Linked DNA regions of Caenorhabditis elegans. The protein of the gene in region 1 purifies or fractionates together with the protein of each later gene. This does not show direct contact. Each region holds a gene or a part of one and is shown in the gene's direction. Other genes may lie near its edges.

The links.
Region 2: the proteins of rpn-2 (region 1) and F35G12.12 fractionate together in Caenorhabditis elegans (co-fractionation; one large-scale study listed by BioGRID). This does not show direct contact.
Region 3: the proteins of rpn-2 (region 1) and ecps-1 fractionate together in Caenorhabditis elegans (co-fractionation; one large-scale study listed by BioGRID). This does not show direct contact.
Region 4: the proteins of rpn-2 (region 1) and rpn-7 fractionate together in Caenorhabditis elegans (co-fractionation; one large-scale study listed by BioGRID). This does not show direct contact.

What each region holds. Positions count from the first base shown.
Region 1 is NC_003281.10:6,197,449-6,203,112, forward strand, and holds rpn-2 (26S proteasome non-ATPase regulatory subunit 1), read left to right. Parts: upstream 1-1,731; 5' UTR 1,732-1,737; coding exon 1,738-1,792; intron 1,793-1,842; coding exon 1,843-2,370; intron 2,371-2,416; coding exon 2,417-2,547; intron 2,548-2,597; coding exon 2,598-3,818; intron 3,819-3,870; coding exon 3,871-4,020; intron 4,021-4,067; coding exon 4,068-4,594; coding exon of another isoform or gene 4,595-4,598; exon of another isoform or gene 4,599-4,692; coding exon 4,693-4,978; 3' UTR 4,979-5,146; downstream 5,147-5,664. Other genes in the region: C23G10.7 (putative tRNA (uracil-O(2)-)-methyltransferase), read right to left, coding at 1-77, 128-290, 334-550, 599-827, 873-959; sna-3 (NADAR domain-containing protein), read right to left, coding at 5,312-5,506, 5,580-5,664. UniProt on the Caenorhabditis elegans protein: Acts as a regulatory subunit of the 26 proteasome which is involved in the ATP-dependent degradation of ubiquitinated proteins.
Region 2 is NC_003281.10:4,580,178-4,584,434, forward strand, and holds F35G12.12 (26S proteasome non-ATPase regulatory subunit 5), read left to right. Parts: upstream 1-1,617; coding exon 1,618-1,653; intron 1,654-1,700; coding exon 1,701-1,801; intron 1,802-1,847; coding exon 1,848-1,956; intron 1,957-2,038; coding exon 2,039-2,320; intron 2,321-2,368; coding exon 2,369-2,560; intron 2,561-2,605; coding exon 2,606-2,663; intron 2,664-2,713; coding exon 2,714-2,914; intron 2,915-2,965; coding exon 2,966-3,076; intron 3,077-3,123; coding exon 3,124-3,298; intron 3,299-3,352; coding exon 3,353-3,563; 3' UTR 3,564-3,716; downstream 3,717-4,257. Other genes in the region: wdr-48 (WD repeat-containing protein 48 homolog), read left to right, coding at 1-160, 206-312, 363-461, 515-608, 663-810, 862-1,053, 1,103-1,388.
Region 3 is NC_003281.10:10,457,510-10,462,464, reverse strand, and holds the start of ecps-1 (Proteasome component Ecm29 N-terminal domain-containing protein), read left to right. Parts: upstream 1-1,913; 5' UTR 1,914-1,914; coding exon 1,915-1,987; intron 1,988-2,035; coding exon 2,036-2,157; intron 2,158-2,215; coding exon 2,216-2,326; intron 2,327-2,380; coding exon 2,381-2,505; intron 2,506-2,551; coding exon 2,552-2,695; intron 2,696-2,831; coding exon 2,832-3,059; intron 3,060-3,332; coding exon 3,333-3,474; intron 3,475-3,526; coding exon 3,527-3,619; intron 3,620-3,665; coding exon 3,666-3,941; intron 3,942-4,336; coding exon 4,337-4,759; intron 4,760-4,809; coding exon 4,810-4,955. Other genes in the region: atx-2 (Sm domain-containing protein), read right to left, coding at 16-277, 401-692, 741-1,076.
Region 4 is NC_003282.8:9,314,835-9,319,174, forward strand, and holds rpn-7 (26S proteasome non-ATPase regulatory subunit 6), read left to right. Parts: upstream 1-1,804; 5' UTR 1,805-1,808; coding exon 1,809-1,871; intron 1,872-1,916; coding exon 1,917-2,759; intron 2,760-2,809; coding exon 2,810-3,136; 3' UTR 3,137-3,396; coding exon of another isoform or gene 3,397-3,525; 3' UTR 3,526-3,570; coding exon of another isoform or gene 3,571-3,696; 3' UTR 3,697-3,742; downstream 3,743-4,340. Other genes in the region: F49C12.9 (UBA domain-containing protein), read right to left, coding at 136-375, 483-920, 968-1,068, 1,135-1,273; nemt-1 (Methyltransferase type 11 domain-containing protein), read right to left, coding at 3,397-3,525, 3,571-3,696, 3,743-3,861, 3,905-4,023, 4,069-4,198, 4,248-4,340. UniProt on the Caenorhabditis elegans protein: Acts as a regulatory subunit of the 26S proteasome which is involved in the ATP-dependent degradation of ubiquitinated proteins.

The sequences.
Region 1 (5,664 bases):
TGAACAAGAAGACCATTTCCGCATCCAATATCCACGAATTTATTCGGCTTTGGTAGGAGATCAGAATTGACAAGCTCCTAAAAATATTTTGAAAGATGGGAATTTTATTGAAATAGATAAATTTTACATTTATATATGAAGCAATCCCACAATCCTCGAAAATTGATTTTTGTGGATTAGAGTTTTCTGTCCATCCTTTGATCATTCCTCTGCCATAATCCTCTCGAATATGACGATATGTCTTGATGTAGGACTCTTTGTCGAGTAGAGAATTTGTCTTTCGAGATGATCTGCAATAAACGTTTAGACTTTGTTAAATCATAGCGTTCTCACTTTGAAAGATCAATTCCTTTCAACCAAGTGTACAATTGTTTGAATGCTTGTTTCTTCATAAATTCAAAATGTTCTTGAGAGGAATTAGCTTGCTTCAAAAACTGAAGTTGAATGGATGTATCTGTTGGGATTTTAATGGCAATTGAATACGGGCTCTCGAAATGTGGGTGTTGCATTCCATCGAGAGTAATTGGGTAGAATCGTACAAGGAGTTCTTCTGAAAACAAAAACATCATTTCAAAAGAAGACTAACTTCGAAACAAACCTTCATAGTAAGAAACTTCAAACGCATTATCTGAGAATTTATTATTAGCGAGATCCTTGTGTATGATTTTCGTAATAGCTATTTCGCTGCAATCTCTCGGGCAAAATTTGTAATGTGTTTCAAATGTTCTTAAAACTTCATTCCATAAATCTGAATCTGTATCCACTGAAACTGAAGTTGTAATTCTGTTACTGATAGCGTTTGGATATTCCTTCCAAAGACTGATAATCTGAATTTTTCTTTCAATTACAATATTCCAAATTACAATAACTACCTTATCAAAAAACGCTTTTGGATCAATAACCTCTTCGTATTCGGCGATTTGTTCTACAATAACTGTCCATGTTGAACCAGGAAACATAAAACGCCTAAAAACGTAAAATTTTAATTGAATATATTGGTAAACTAGTTTTTCAAAGGAAAAAGAAAATTATTCAATAAACTTTTATTGATTAGTTCGGCCGAAAATATCCAACACGCAGAAAGGTAAGCTTTTCGAAGATATAGAAAGTTCTAGAAAATTCGGAAATGTTCCTCTGAAAACTACAAAAACTAAGTCAGACTGAAACCAATGTCATAACTATGTGCAATGAGCCTTTAATACAGTAACCACCGCATAGCTTTGAGACGATCAGTGAAAAATTAAGCATTAGAGCGGTCAAACTAGACACCAATACACTTTTATCTGATTTTAAAAATTAAAATATGCTATTTTTATCGGAATTGCTGGGAAAAATATTGTCTAAAAATAAGAAAACAACTTTGAAGAAAATGCGCCAACACCCATGTGCTGGCGCAATTATCGATTAGTTGACGCACATCGCGGAGGATGACAATTCTGACCACAGCGGGAAACCGCGAAATTGTCAGCTTTTATCTGAAAATGTATGTGTTTTTGGACGAAATTTGTCATTCGCAATCATTCTTTTCGTTCGGTTCATCCATTGTTGGTGTTTGAGTAATTTTATGATTTTCTAAAACGCCTGATTTATTTTTAGACGTTTTCTAATTTGTCTTTTAAGACGAGAAAGCTGTTTTTCTGATAACCTAGAAAAACATTTTATAATAAACTATGCTTCGCAACTATCTTCTCCTAGCTGCTCTCATTTCGGATTGTTTTTAATTTTGATTTCTTTCAGATGTTGACATTGTTGAACAGATGGAGATCTCAGCCAGGAGGCGCTTCAAACGCAGGTATCAAAACTAATATCTATCAAGAAACGTTGTGAATTGTTCATTTTCAGCCGCATTCATTCGTGTTCTCGAGTCACCGAAATCAGCAGTGACCGACAAAGTGCTCGTTCTCAAAGCATTTAACGATTGGGATGTTCTTGTGAACACATGGTTTGAGGTCGCTGACGCCCTTCCAGCTGTAGAGCAGCTCCTTGACAACAACACGTTCCCAGAGCATTCATCCGCTGCACTGCTCGTCTCCAAAGTTTATTTCTGCTTGGAGCAGTATGAACGTGCTTTGGAGTTTGCTCTTCGTGGTGATTTCAACGTCGTTCCTGCTACAAGAACCGGTCTTGGAAACGACGCAGAATATGTTAACAAGATCATCGAGACGGCCATTGACACGTACAAGACGCTGAGCAAGCAAGGATCTGGAATTCCTCAGAAACTCCGAGATTTGATCGACCGAATTGTTGCTAGAAATCTGGATAAACGAGAGATATGGTTTGTCATCTCGTTAGGATTTGAGACGACCAATCTGGCTATGATCGACAGGGCCATTAGCGCGATGCCTGCAGATTTGACCATCAAGAATCAGAGTAAGTCAATAATAACTAAGCTGAAACGTCATTCTTTTTTGTGCAGCTACACTTGTCGAAACGCTCAACCGTGTTGTCAATGGCGCGTTCGATCGTTCATTCCGATTCCAAGTTATCGATACAGTCATCAAGACGTACTTGAAGTGCCCATCGCCGGACATGTCCAAGATTTGCGAGGTATGATTTATACAAATATCGAAGTAAAATTACAAAATAAACATTTTCAGTGTTACGTGCTCACGGATAACGCCGAGGCCGCTGCTGACACGATTACGAGTTTGATCGCGAAGTCTCTCAGCACTCGTGCATATCAGATCGCATTTGATTTATATGAAACAGCGAGTCAAGGATTCCTCGATCGAGTTTTGAAACGTTTCCAACAGCAGGATGCTCGTGATGAGAAGTCGATGGAAAAGATTCATTCAATTCTCAAAGGTCATGAAACTGTCAAGGCTTACCTCGACTTCTTTGTCCGTCATAATCACACTGATTCTGTTCTAATGGAAGAGATCAAGGAGAACATTCGAACAGCCTCTGCCCACAATGCTCTTCTCATCTCAAATGGTCTTATGCAATATGGAACTACTTGTGACGATTTCCTCCGTAACAACTTGAACTGGGTTTCCAAAGCTACGAACTGGAACAAGTTCAATGCGGTCGCTTCACTTGGACTCATTCATCACGGACAAGAATCGTCTGCAATGAAGGTACTTGAGCCATATTTGCCAAAGGAATCTGTCGAAGGATTTGGATTTAAAGAGGGAGGAGCAATGCTGGCATATGGATTGATTCACGCCAAACACGGAGATGCAACTGCCATGAGCACTCTGGCTCAGTGGCTCAAAACCGCCGAAAACGAGCCAGTGAGACACGGAGCTTGTCTTGGATTTGGAGTTGCTGGACTTGGATCGTCTTCTGTTTCGAATTACGAGAAAGTTCGGGAAGTTCTCCAACGTGATGAAGCAGTTTCCGGAGAATCCGCAGGAATCGCCATGGGCCTTATCATGGCTGGACATCTGAATCAAGAGGTGTTCAATGAGCTCAAGCAATACACTGTTGACACACAGCATGACAAAACTCAACGTGGTATCCGAACTGGACTTGCCTGTGCCGCATTCGGACTCCAAGGAGATGCTGAGCCTTACATCAAAGAAGCAATCGGAGCTAAGAGCAATCCAATGCTCCGTTCCACTGGAATCTGTATGCTGTCGATGGCTTACGCCGGAACCGGATCTCCAGATGTAGTACGCCGTCTTCTCGAGAAAGTAGCCACCGATCCAAATTTGGATGTCAAGAGATACGCTACAATTGGTATCGGATTCGTTCTCTCCAAGGATCCATCAACCTGCTTATCCTACGTGGCCATGCTCACCGAACATTTCAATGGACATGTCAGATACGGAGCAGCTATGGCACTGGGAATTGCTTGTGCTGGAACAGGAAACATGGTAAGATACTTTTTTCTGAAACCGGGGTTTGATATAATGAATTGTTTTTCAGGAAGCTATTGCTCTGATTGAGCCAATGATTTCTGATAAGGAAGGTTTCGTTCGTAAAGGAGCACTTCTTTCACTTGCTCTCATCATGTGCCAGCAGACAGACTACACTTGTCCCAAGGTGAACGGTTTCCGTAAGCAATTGCTCAAAAAGGTAACTCTATAAGAAAACAATCAAGTTTTTCAATAAATGTTTGTCAGATCGGAGAGAAGAACGAGGACTCTCTTGTCAAATTTGGAGCAATTATTGCTCAAGGACTTCTCGACATCGGAGGGCAGAACGCTGCGGTCACAATGCAAAATTCTGACAAGCAGCCAGATATGGGATCAATGGTCGGAATGATGTGCTTCCTTCACGGATGGTTCTGGCACTCGATGCATTTCTTCATCGCCCTTGCTGCTAAGCCATCATGCCTTGTGATGATGAACGAGAATCTGAAGATTCCAGTACTTGACTACATCTGCCATGCCAATAGTCAGAAGTTTGCCTATCCACCACGAGCCGAATCAAAGAAGGATAAGGATGTCAAAAAGATTGAGACTGTTGTTCTGTCCATCACCGGAAAGAAGAATGCGTCAAAGAAGCTGATCGCTGAGGAGAAAAAAAGACGAGAAGCTGCAGCTTCCGCTTCTAGTGCTGCTGCTGCCCCATCATCATCGTCCACTTCAGGAACAGCACCAGCTGCTGAAGATGAGAAAATGGAGGTTGATCAACCAGGAAAATCCAAGTAAGTTTGGAATGAGTGTCTAGGAAAAGTAGAATTCGTTTTTTTTGTCATAAAAATTAAAAAACCAAGATTTCCAAATTAACTTACAATTATTTCAGGAAAGAAAAGGCTCCAGAAAAGGACACGAAGCCATTGCACCGCCTACAGAATCCAGCTCGTGTGATTCCTGCTCAACGACAGCTAATCTCGATCAGTGACGCTCGAGCCTACAGTCCCATGAAGCCACTTTACAAGGGTGGAATTATTGTGGCGGATCGTGTTGATAAGGAGAGAGAGGAGAAGCTTGTCAGTGAAGTCGTCACTCAGGTCAATACTCCTGCGAGCTCTGGAAATACCGAAAACAAACCCCATTCGACGTTCGAGATCAATATCAACGATTTTTGATCAATTGCTGGATCATTCGATCAACTCTATCTCGCTCCCCCAATCCCATTCAAAACTTTTTTAATTTATTTTCCCCCTTCTACTCTATTTATGTTTGACTTCGAATCAACATGAACCCGCTGATTTTTGTATTTGTGTGTATACCTGAAAATGAAGAACATTTCACTTACATGAATTGAAGTCAAGCGATAATGACAAAAAATTTATTTTTGTTAAACAAGAGATCCTTTCTGGCCTCAAAATCTTGCTGTGTTATTCAAATGAAACAGCAACAAAAATGAATGAATAAATTCTGAAAATTTTAATAACGAAAACGTGAAGTAAAAAATTAATTTAATTATCCTCCTCGTCAGTTGATAGAATCTCGCCGTCTGATAACTCCTCTTCGGGATCTCGCTTTGGCTTCGGAGGAACAACGACCGCTGGTGTTGACGTGGATATGGCTGGCTTTTTAGCAGGCGATGGAGCTGCTTTCCGCGATGGAGGAGACTGGTTTACACGTTTTTTGGTGGGAGTGTCGAGGTGTTTCTGTAAATTTTGATTTTGAAAACATGTAATCGGGAAATTTTAAGCTAAAACAATATAAATAATAAAAACCAACATCTCTTCCTCTATCAGAAGACGACTTCTCTGGCAAACGATCCCTATCTTTTCCAAATTTCCTTCTAGATGTCGTTGGTATTTTA
Region 2 (4,257 bases), 1.6 Mb from region 1:
CCATCAGCCCAACTTTCGATTGGAGGAGACGAAGATGGTCCTTCAACTTCAAATGCAAATCACTCAGTATCAGCTTCATCATCACCTCCAGTAACATTCAAGTATATCCGAGTGAAGGATCAAAAAGGACAACAGAGCACACCAGAGCTCGTTATTCCTGGTAAACAGACTATATGCAGATATAATTTTTAATCTGTTTATTCAGGCGCTCCTGCCATCAAGAAACATGCCATGTTGAGCGACAAACGACACGTTTTGACACGAGACTCGGATGGAAATGTGGCGCTATATGATGTTTTAGCAGCAAGAAAGGTTTGTCCCCATTATTAAAAGTTACTACTTGAATTTTGATAAAATTTCAGATAAAAGATTATGGAAAGCGAATATTTGAAGAAGTTGTCGATGAGAACTCTAGGCAAGTATACATTCCAAGCTGGTTTGTCGTTGATTCAAAAAGTGGAGTGAGTTTTAAGTTTTATAAATTTTTGAAAAATAAAACCCTATTCGATTTCAGATGCTCCAAATCACTTTGGACGAGCTGGACGCTCTCTCCTCGTGGCTTTCATCAAAAGACGCAGGTTTTGATGATAATGATCGAGAGACAAAACGTAAGATATTATACGAAAATAAAAACTTTCTCATTCCTTTGTAAGAAATTATAGTGAATTACGGTGGAATGATGCTACGATCACTCTTCGAACGATGGCCACCTTGTAAAATGACAAATGTTGATGCAGCTGATGCAGATGATGTGCAAAAAGCAACACTGAATTTTATTTCTCTACCGGAACACACACCGCTTATTATTTGGTAAAATTATTTGAAGGCTCAAATTTTAAACATTAAAAAAACTAATTTCAGCGAAGGAAATGGTCGTCCGCTCTACCGTCTTCTTGTTGGCGACGCTGGGAAGGAGTTCGAAGCAAATGAGCTGGCACAAATTGCACCCATGTGGGTTATAGACGCAATCGAACGAAATCAGCTGCCGAAATTCAATAAAATGCCATTTTATCTTCTTCCACATCCGTCGACAAATCCCAAACAGCCTAAAAAGTTTGTGAAAACGCGGGGTTCATTCATTAAAATTTTGAACTATTTTCAGAGATCGTCTGTCAGCAACTGAAATGCTTCAAGTTAAGAAAGTGATGGAGCATGTTTACGAAAAAATACTCAGCACTAATGATGGTAAGGTATTTAGAAATAAGAAGATATTAATGGTGTTTGAAGATATTACAGTTGGCTCGATTCCACTAAATCAAATTCATACAAAAATGGAAATGTACTGCAATGATCAGAGGTTGGAGCCGGATATGGATTTGCGAACAGTCAAGCATCTCTATTGGAAGCAAAGTGGAGAGCTTCTTCTACATTATAAACCAGTTAAATAGCTTTAACATTTAATTTAAGTTATTTATTTGAACATACTTATCTAACATTTGTACTTTATTGAAAATTCACTGTCTAACTTCTTTTTTGATACGGGTAAAACCGACTTTCAATTAAATTCCATGCTCTTTCCATATGTCTTTCTTTCTTTTTTAAAATTATGATGGTTTAACTACCAGCTTATCTTCATTTCTTGCTTAATATTTTTACCTCCTACCGTATTCGTTCCAGATGGCTAGTTTGGAAGAACATGAAAAACTGATCGAAGTAGGTTTTATTGAAATTTCTTCCAATTTTAAGCCAATTTTTTTCAGGAGTGGAGAAACGATTACATCGCAGAACGCAGTTCGAAAAAGGGATGGGAGATTCTGGAAAAACTTGCAAAGATGCAAATTGAAGCGGCTCAGCAAATGGAGTACGTTAAATGAATATCAGATAGTATCAAAATGAAATTATTTCAGAACAGAAGATGACGTGGCCGCTGCTGATTTTGATGACTTCAGCACCAGCAAGCTTGTAAAATTGATTATTGGAGATATTTCAACCAAAGATCTTCTTGTCGATCATCAGGTACCTGACATCAATTTTTAGACTATTCTAATCTAATAAAAAAAAATTCTAATAAAAATTGTAATATCTCAATCTTTTACAGATAATTCTTCTCGAATTCATTCCATCTGCACATCCGAATATTCTTCGCCATGTAGTCCGCACAGTCCGTGAGAAGGAAGGAGCGATTTCCCTTTTGAAGTCATCATCGGTTGCAATTGGAGTTGCATTTGCTCGAAGAGTTACAGATGCTGAAGCTGGAGAGGAAGTTGGACGTCTGATGGCACACCTCGTGGATCACGACTTGATTAATGAAGAGCTCAAATCGCAGCTGAGTGTTGCCAATGGAAGAGAAAGTTCATCCATTAGAAGTCGTATTTACTCCGTAATTATTTGAATTCTTAATTTGATAATTCATTGAAAAATTGTTCAGATTGCTACTGAACGAGCTCGCATTTCATCTAACACTTCATGCATTCATTGGCTCTACGACAAGATTCTTAAAAGTGTTCTAGATACTCAAGATGTTCTTGCTCAACTGGATGCTTTGGACACTTTCGTTGATATTGCACTTAGTGGAAAACAGAATGCAGAGGCTTTGTACGAATTGGGAATCGTCAAAAAGGTTTGAATTTGCAATAAATTTGTTTTTTTAATGTTATTCCTTTAGATTTATGAGTTGATGGAATGGTCGAAGGAGTCTCCAGATGGTGGGGAAATGTATTTATGTAAGTTACCAGTTCATTCAATTAATATTTAACAATATTTTTATCAACAGACGGAACACGTTTCATGTGTTATATGGCTCGTTCCTACCCACAAGTTCTTAAATATTTCCCTGATCTTGCACGGCGTCTCATGCTCGAAATCAGAATGTTCGATCAATTGAGTGTGGTCAGTCGTCTTGGAGCTTTCGATCATTTTGCCAGTATGTGCTTCTCTGTCGAGGCAAAAGAAACTTTGGAGGATATGTTCAAAGGTATTTTCCAAATTTTTCAAAAGCAAGATATTAAAAATCATATTGTTTCAGATTCAAAAGATCTTGAGAATACTTTGGGAGCTGCTGGTGCTGCATGTACGATGGGAACAATGGAATTGAAGTGTCGAACTCTTCAGGCCGTCACTCTCCTTTTCCAGAATAGTGAGCTTATTTAGTTATGTGGAATGTTTGAAAATTAATAATTTCAGCGACTGAAAAAATTGCTGAAACATGGTACGAGCGTCTCGGTGGAAAAGCATTGACACATGTAGCAGTTGGAAATGTTAAGAAGCCGTTCCCTGAGATGAAGAATTGTATTTATGATTTCTGGCAACAGTTGTTCACATATCCATCAGTTGTTCATCAGTTCATCACTTTCCAGGGGTATGTTAACGACATTTTTATGCGAGATTTTTTATTAAAATTGTTTTTTCTCAGATTCATTGACTGGGCATTGGACGATAAATCAGAAGATAATCCAGAATACGAAATTCGCAAACGTCAAATTATTCATCGAATCATTGAATTGTCGGAGAATACAAAGAGCGCCGAAGTACTCAAAGCTGATCCAGAACTGATTGGCCGTCTCAAGAAATATCTGCAACCGGCTGTTGCACCTGCTCCGCGTGTTGAGGAAATGGCTCTTTAGATTGATCTGTATATCCTGAATCTCTTTGACTATTCAATTTTTTGTTTCTTTTTCATCTCAATTATTCCAATACAGTATTTTATTGCCTCAAAAATGACTTGTTCGCCGTTAATTCATGTTCCGGTTTGAAGTTTTAATGAAATTTATTGATGTAATGTTTTTAATATAAGTCTTTACATATACTCTTGTGTTTGAAATCCCATTTACTTCAATCTTTAACGAGTTTTGAAAACTGAAATGATTGTTTCAAAGCTTCAGCGTCAAAAAATGAAATGCTAACAACGTGAAGGTTAAACGAATTTGCTATTTAAGTAAAACACACTATCGTGTTTCTCGCATTTTCGCCGCCAAGAAAATAAAAATTTCATTTCGAATTGATTTAAAACTCATTCAATTTTTGGTCTCGCCGCGATATAAAACGTTAAAATGTAAGTCAAAAATGTATATCTCTTGAGATCGCTTATTGAGTGGACTTATTTATGTTTGAAAGATAGTCTATCTAGATAGACTAACGTTACATTAATTGGACTTTCATGTTATTTGGACTATAATGGTGCGTCCAAAGTGCATAGAAAAACAATAATTTTCTCGTTACCGCTATTGATCAATTTAAAAAAAGAAGGCGTGGCCAACCCAACAATCCGCTGATTGGCTAGTCACGCCCACTAATTCCCATTTTCTTCACACTATCGAC
Region 3 (4,955 bases), 4.3 Mb from region 1:
ATTCAAATAAATTACGTTGTGTATTGCGTTAAATCCTCTTTGAACGTCGACACCACGTTCATCTTCTCGTTGGCGGCGAACATGTCGTTGACCGACCATCCGGTGCCGTTGTTGTGATTGTTGCTGCGACGAGCGGCGGTTTGTCCACCAGCAACGACGACGTCGTCCTCAATGGATCCTCCGAGTCCGTCCTCCTCACCTCCGTTCCATTCCTGAAGCTCTTCGCCCTCGATTGGAGTATCTCCGTGGTATTGTCTATCGGTGACGAATTTGCTGACTGAAAATGGAGAGTTTTTCAGCTTTTTCGGATTAAAAATCGTAACTGTGAACCCGACTTGGCCCAAAATTAAAGATGTCATGCATTTTTTTTAATGAAAAAGTTCCCTGAAACAGCTCTTACCAGCATGCTGCTTCTTGATCTCTTGCGTAACGTACGCAAAATCGACAATATCACTATAGTGAAATACCATCTTGTCTCTGCATTCCGACTCTGTTCTCAGCAAGTTATTCTCGTTCTCCTTCGTAATTTCCACGACGCACTGCATCCCGAAATCGAAATCCTGAGACACGGCGCCCAGCACCCCAGAATATCGCTTTTTGTCCGTAGTATTAATGATAATTACACGTCCGATCATATCATTGATGGCGCTCAACACATCGCCATTTAGCGCAGGAAGACCCGTTGGTGTTGACTGGAAAAATTGTATTTTTAAAGAAATTTTCAAGTTGCCAGCGCTTACCATTTCTTTCATTCGCACTTTGGATGCAAATAAAATATAAATAAATAGAAGATTGTCTGTGGAGCAGTCAAAGAGTTTGGGTACAGGAGAAATGTACCTGAAAATGGAAAAAATTTGAATTTTAAAAACAGCAATTTCGCAACGATAATGGAAGTTTAATATGAGTAACAGTTTTGGGCAAATTTTTGAAATTTCCAACACAATCCCGTTTTTCAAGGTTTCACCACGTGCAAAACGAGCCACAAGAAGAAAATTATCCACAAAATTCGCGGAAAAATTTGAAAAACGTTCGAGAGAGAGACGAGAGAGCACGCAGACAGCGGAGGACACGCACATGCGGTAAATGACGCGCCGATTTCCGTCGGGATTGCCTGAGACTCCGCCCTATGCAAGTGCGCCGCACAGGGTTTCGCAAGTGTGCCGCGCGCATTTTACACAGTGGGGTTTTCAGGAAAGTCGATATAGTGGGAATTAGTGGATTTTTTCCAAGGAAAGTGGTAAAACATGAACATTTCGCCTCAACAGTTGAGTTTTTGGGCAATGAATAAAAGCATTTTCCCCAAATCAAAAAGTTTATCCGCAATTTATTGAATTAGGTCTGACAAAATTCAGATTTTGTTCTTAAAAGAAAGATAGGACATTTCTTCATAGGAGCACACACTTTTTTCATTTGACAAAAAATTATCTTGCCGGGTACCACATTTCTCGTGCAAAATTTCGCGATTGGGAAATATTTATCTGTTTGACACCACAGATTTTGGGGAAACTCCCACTCGGAGAAATTCTTTCCCTGCGCTATCTTCCAATACACTTTGTCGATAATACAATTTGAAATAAACAAAACTAATTCTCAATTTAAAATTTATCGCTCATCAAAAATATTTAAAAATTTCCCCTGTTTTTCGGTCTTTTTTTCAAGACTCAAATTTCTGTAGAGAAAGGTTCTGTGACGTCTCTTGTCAAGTTCGCCCCATTGACACGATGAAGAGAGACGCAGACTGAAAATAAAAATATTTTTGATGACATTTTGGAATAAATTCAAGAACATTTTACTTTTTGCGGAAAAACCGAGTTTCTCGTATTGTTTTGAACAATTTTTAGCAATTTCAGTGTAATTTCTTCATTTTTCGACGTTAATTTCTTCGTAAAACGCTAAATATTTAGTATTTTCAGCATGGAAAGCCCAATGGAAGTCGATGCTCCCAGAGAATCAGCTTCGCTGACGTCTCTCGACTCAGCAAATGATGGTAAGCTAGTCTAGCTTCTAATTTACATAATGAACTTGAAATTTTCAGTGGAAAGAGTCTTCCTGCGGCTCGTCAACGCCAACTCGGACGCCAAGCTACAAACTATCACAGATCGGCACTTGTGCGATGTGTTGGAGTTTGCCGGGAGAAAGCAGGAGCACATTCAGCTGGTAAGACGCAAAAATTCGCTGAAATTTGATTCAAAATGACTAAAATTCGTGATTCCAGGTCACCGAATTTCTCACACACTTCAACAAAGTCGTCAAGAGCAATTTGGCGATCCGTCTCCCAGTGCCACGTCTGCTCGAACTTTTCCAAGGCCCGAGTGCCATTTCATCGGTTTGTAGCGTTCTCCAGACGATGTATAACCCAAAAAATTAATATTTTTTCCAGAATTTCAGTCTGATCTATCTCAAAATGGCAAAAGACCGGATCCAGGCCGCCGAGCAGCTAGAGTTTCTGCCTGTATACTTGACATCGTTCAGCAAGAAGCCCAATGATCTCAATTACATTTACGAGTAAGTAAAGTAGAACTATTTATATTTTCTATATAATTTTTTCCAGCATTCTCTCGTTGTGCCTGCCGGGACTCCACGAGCTCGCGAGAATCGAGAAAAAACACTGGCCGACGATCGAGATGAGCTCTGTCGACGTGGAAATCATTGCCAGATGCTTTCAGGCGATTCTCGTGTTCTCTGCACGAAGCATGTACGTAATTTCAGTTTTCAGAAGCGAATTTCCTGGTTTTAATCTGAAACATGCCTAGCATTTTGTTAATTTTACAATATTTCATGCCGAAATCTTCACGAACTTTGCCTGCTTTAACTCTAATATTTTATTTCAGTGAGGACATCAAAGTGCTCGTCGAGAAGCTTCCCACAGCATCGTCGGCTCCTGAGCTCCCAGCGCTGAGCATCAACGAATTTGTTCAAATTGGGCGGAAAGTCTTCCCGCTGGGGCTGAATTTGACGGAGACGAAGGTGATGATTCTGAAGGTGTTGGGAAAGGAGTTGCTCACCGATGACATTGCTTTTCCGCTGATGGTCGTGGCTTCCGCTTCGAAATTGAACGAGTAAGGATTCATCACGTAAATCGGCATAAATTTAAAGGCACACGCACATTTACCCTCACTGATCCCGCCACGATCTTAGCTATTGGGTACAGTATCCGATCAAATTTACGAGGATCGTGACAAGACCCGCTAAGGAAAGAGCATGCGCCTTTAAGAATGTCAGGCTCACCACGATCCACATATTACCGCGTAATTGTATGGATCGTGACGAGACCTGTCATGAAAAACTGAAATACATGCGCCTTTAAAGTTAGTTTTATTACCACTTTTCAGGGTAGATGATCTCGCAGAAAGTCTGATCAAGAAGATTCCAACCGAAGGACTTATTGAGAGCCGACCAGTCATCGACAAGCTCATGCACGCCTTTCTTGGCTCAAATGCCGATACTACGCCGCCGAAAGATCCCAAAGCAAAGGTTTACCCGAAAGAAAGGCAAAAAAGCAGGAAATAAATCCAAAAAATTCCAGATCTCTGCGGGAAATCAATTTGTCCAGGCGGCCGTTCTACCGTTTCTGTCGAAATCTCGACTGGCACCAACTGTCTACATGAATAACTTGAAGGTTTTTATTATTGCTGAAATTCCCATATAATCGTTTTTTTTTTCAGATCTGTATGAATGGCTCCGCGAGCAAAAGTTCTCGAGTTCAGGCGCTCACGATGAATTTCTACGTGCTCGTCGCCGAGAAAATGCGACCACAAGCTCTACAGACATTGGCTCCGGGATTGTTCAAACGGCTTCGGGACTTGATTCGCAGCAATAATATGAACACATTGACAATTTGTGGAGTCTACCGCTGCCTGGCAATCTTCGGGAGTCGTCATCCGATACTTGTGCTCAACGATAGTGATGTCGTTGCCAAGATGTTTGAGGATCTTTCCACTGTTAGTAAATCGCTGATTTCTGTCAAATTTAGAAGAGAAAGCTGGAAAATTTCACTCTTTTTTTTAAATTTAAATCCTAAAATCTCGAATTTTGACAACTTTTCCGTGTCGTAGCCATGGAAAATTGATTTTTATTCGCATTATTGTTATATCTCACATATTTTTCTCATTTATCTCACGTCCTTCGTTGATTTCGAGGCGTTTAAGCCTATAGGTATCAAAATTGTGTTGCCTAGTTGCTTTAAATATTTCGAAATTACGTGAGATAAATGAGAAAATATGCAAAATAGAACATGGTTCTAACAAAAATCAATTTCCAATATTTGAGAAATTATTGAAAAGTCTCGTTATGAAATTCGGTCTATTTGGGCCATTTTGAGTATTTTAATTTTCAGGAGTACCAGGAAGACATCGCCGGAGCAATTGTATCATGTCTGACGACCTGGCTCCCACTGTTCCTCGAATCTACAGAAGAGGAGCTGAGAGCAAAACTCCGTGAGGTGATCAGTGAACACATTCGCTCGGATTTCCCGAATTGTCGACTCGCCGCGTTGAAATACGCAGAAGCTCTGATTGGAGAGCAAGATATGGATCTACGGTGGCAGTTGATTCAGGCTTCGGGTGATGATAGAGATGCAATTCGAACCGAAGCTCTTCGTCAATTGGAGAAATCTCTTCAAAAGCCGGCTCCACCAACTTCAGTGATTATTGGCTCACTTTGGAGCAGTCTTCAGAAGGATTATCGGAGGAATAGCAGCAGTGAGACGGATGGAGCAGCCCGTGTTGATCCAAGTTATAATAATTTGGTTCATCAAAATGTGAGTAAAATTGCCTAAAAAAAGAAGAAATTTTATTAAAAGTCTTTCAGGCCTCGCGTTATCTCTACGCAGTGTTTGAGAGCATTGTGATGGATCATCCGGCGCAACTTCGAATTGTTGAAGGTGACGATCACTGGATGACTGTGGTGCCAAGAGTTGTGAAGAAGCTTCACGGGGATACAAGTATCGATATGAT
Region 4 (4,340 bases), on another chromosome or scaffold:
ATTTTAAACAGATATGAGATTATTTTAGCCCTATTGACGAATGAATAGGGCAATTTGAATGCATTAAAAACGAATTATGAACACTTATAGACAGAAAAAGTTAATGAGAAGACAGAATAAAACCATTGGTGTAGATTAATTTTGGAGATCAATAAGAAACTCCATAGCCGCTTGCACATCTCCATTCGCCTGTTCGAGAGCCAACTGAATGAGCTCATCATTTTCAAATCCAAACTCGCGGAGAGTCGCAGCTTGTTGTTCATATCCTTGCTGCATTGGCTCTTCTTGCTGCTGTTGCGCTGGCTGGACATTGGCGGGAGCTGGAACCCGATTTGCCGGAGGAACTGCAATGTTTGCCAGGGCTGCTTGGAGAGCCTGAAAAAATTGGCATGGAGAATTTAGTAGAAATATGTATTCAACTATTATTATATTTCAATTATTCTTTTCGAATTATGAGAATCAGTGTGTCCAAGAAATCTTACATTTTGAAGCAACGCATGAGTAACCGGTTGAGCACCTCCAATTGGTCGCTGAGCTGCAAGCATTCCTGGTCTATTTCTTTCCACGTTTGCATAATCAAGGTTTTCGTATCCGTAACGAGATCCTACTGTCGATAGAATATTTTCTACTACTTTCAAGAAATCGGGATTCGTGTACATGAATTGTCCCCGAATTGGATCATCTTTGAAATCGTTCTGAACGCAATAGGCACGGAATAATGACCAATCACTCAGAACAGATAAAAATTGATTATCATGAACCAGCTGTGGGTGTTTCTCAAGAAGCGTTGTCATGTGATCTGGAAGTGCAAAGTCGTGGTTGAAACCATGAAGCCGACGATCATTTGGGCGTGTATATGGGGCGGTACACTCCTTGAGAGCAATACTGATTCGATTTTTTTGCTCTTCTTCGATGTGGTTCTGAAAATCTTAAAATTAATTTGGGTTTCAAACGGAAAAAAACTGACATTTGTTTTAAGCGGTGGAAGCAGCACGACTCTGATTGAATCAGCATCAGTAATCTTTTTTAGGCTCTCTTCATTCAATGCTCTTCCGTTATAAATCAAACCTGAAAAGTGATTGATTCGATAATTGAAGAAATAAATATGATCGATAATTGAAGAAATAAACTTACGGAAACGTTCAACGTTTTTTTGGTCTTTGAATTCGGAAGTACTTTCTGATAAATGCTTGAAGAATTGGATCTGTCCAGTAGAAATTATCTCTTCGATCGGGACTTCACGGCAGGTGGTTTTTAAATGCAATTTAACCATGTTTCTCAATACAACGGGATGGCGGTTGAAAACTGAATGCGAAACAAATGCTCCGTTTCCTGCGTTCAAACGCTAATAACGAGAGCGCTCGATAATGAAAGGATGAATAAAACCGTGCGGCGGAATTGCGAAAGCATGCGCCGCGTATTGCAAACCCTTGTCATCATCCCCGCCCACTTTTATTCGTCCCATTTTGAATTTTTCCCCCAGTTTTCTTGAATTTTGATACGGTTTTGTCTGTTTATGCACTATGAAATAGATATTTTAACGTAGTTTTCACTGTGCCGCTCACTGTAATGTAAAATAAGGCACTATTACGAATTTAAAATAGATATCAACGCTTATTTTCAAAAACTAACAAACTAGACACTAAAATTAATACCAAATCTATATTTCGATAATTACAGCAAATTTAATGAAAACTAACTAAAATGCTATTTCACGTTTGAAATACCATTGAACAGTTTTATTTCCGTTTTGGCCGCTTTTTAACGTTTGCTACAATTTCAAGTGTTCATATTTCATTTTAAGGAGGATGACAGAGGCTGCCAAAAAGAGCACGAAGAAACCCGTAGATGATGGAAACTTCGATAAGGAGGTACGGATCAGTAGTTTTGAAATCATTCAAGTTCAGAGTTTTCAGATCATTTCAAGATGGCCTGATCTTGAGTTATCACAAACCAGATTCATGCTCAATCATCCCGAAGTAGACAGCAGCGTGAAAGAAGCCAAGCTCGAGAAGCTTCAGGAAACTATCAAAGAATTCGACATGGCGCCATTCTACGAGCTTGTCTGCGCTGACTTCAAAATTGTCGTAGATGCAACACAATTGGCTGCAATGAAAGCAGCTAATCAGAAAAAGATCGATGAAATCACCGCAGAAGTTGAAGACGCGGAGAAGAACCTTGGCGAATCTGAAGTGCGTCAGGGATTACTCCGCAAGTTCGAGTACTACTGTCAGATCGGTGACAAAGACAACGCTCTGAAAGCGTACACAGCCACCTATGAGAAGACAGTCGGTATGGGATATCGTATTGATGTAGTTTTCGCCATGATTCGTGTTGGACTTTTCTTCCTCGATCATCATCTCATCAACAAGTTTATCACCAAAGCAAAAGAACTTATGGAGCAAGGAGGAGACTGGGAACGCAAAAATCGCCTTCGATCCTACGAAGCGCTTTACCGAATGTCTGTTCGTGATTTTGCTGGAGCCGCTGATTTGTTCCTTGAAGCTGTGCCAACATTCGGATCATACGAGCTCATGACATATGAAAACTTGATTCTCTACACTGTCATCACCACAACCTTTGCTTTGGACAGACCAGACCTTCGTACCAAGGTTATTCGTTGCAATGAAGTTCAAGAACAGCTGACCGGAGGGGGACTCAATGGAACATTGATTCCAGTTCGTGAGTATCTCGAATCATACTATGATTGTCACTACGATCGTTTCTTCATTCAGTTGGCCGCTCTTGAAAGCGAGAGAGTAAGTTACTAAAACAAATCTTGTATTTTTCACTTATCGTTATATTTCAGTTCAAGTTTGATCGCTATCTATCGCCACACTTCAACTATTACTCTCGTGGAATGCGCCATCGCGCTTACGAACAATTTTTGACTCCTTACAAGACTGTACGTATCGATATGATGGCCAAGGATTTTGGTGTTTCCCGTGCTTTCATCGACCGCGAATTGCACCGTCTGATTGCGACTGGGCAATTGCAATGTCGTATTGATGCTGTTAACGGAGTGATTGAAGTGAATCATCGTGACTCGAAGAATCATCTGTACAAGGCAGTTATCAAGGATGGAGATATATTGCTCAACCGCATTCAGAAGCTTGCCAGAGTTATCAATGCATAACCGAGCCCAGTTCTTCAAACGTGTAAATCCTTTTATTTTACCCTATTCTTCTTCTCCCGTATTATTTCTTTGCGTTAACTCGCTTTGAATCTCCCCACTTCTTCATCATTTCCGGTTGAATGAATTAATTTATTACCATCGCTGTATTTTTAAAACTGTATTCACACTTTCTTGGTCAAATACCAATTGTTTTATTATCTTTAAAATGTTTTTACATGTTATTTAATACCACTTCTTCACTTCTTCACTTCTTCATTTCTTTATTTCTTTATCCACATCGCTGCGATGTAGATCCGCTGTTTATTTTTCAATCGTTCATAAGTTGATGTTCCAGGAGCACAGTACGTTGCTCGCAGCGAGTTTTTGAAGAATTTAACGAAGAAAGGAGCCTAAAATATTTATATACAAATTTTTTAACTTTTGGCCTAGTTTACTTTCTCTAGTAGCCTATCATATTTTCTCGCTGAATATTTTAAGCCCTCAACTACTTCATCAGTGCAAAACTCGAAATGTTTCTTTACAAAACCGGCTGCTGTGGCTGTCTCCTGAATCTGTTTTGCCTGTAATCACTAGCTGTATTTATATAAATTTTACAAGTAGACTAACCTCATGGGGATATCGAATGTCCATGTAGCAGAAGGCACCACCCGATCGCAAAACTCGTGAGCCCTCTTTGAAAAATAGTTTGTAGTCCGAGTAAAGATGAGCTGCTTCCACATTCAAAACTTAATTTCAAGATGTTTTTGGTATTTTTTGATATGATCCTACCAAAATCAAACGAATTATCTGCAAACGGTAAATCTAGTGCATCTCCGTAGACTATGTTATTCATATTTCTAGTGACAACTTTATCACAGCCAATGATGCATTTTGTTGGTCCATGCCACCTGTGTTCCATATTTCTCGTTTTAAAAAAAATGCAAGACACTTACTTTTCTATCCAATCGAGAGAGTACCCTTGACCACAGCTCACTTCAAGAATTTCAAATTGTTCAAAATAAGGATAATTTGGATGCATTGATAATGCTTTTTCATAGAGATAAATATGAGCTCGATCCGACTCTGAACATTTAAATTAACAAGGAAACCTCGATTAGTGTTTTCATTTTACCGTATTCATCTAGGTCACCTAGATCTTCCATGAACATTCTCATTTTTGCGTACTGAGGTGCTGATGATGGCCAGTAGCCCAAATTCATGAAAC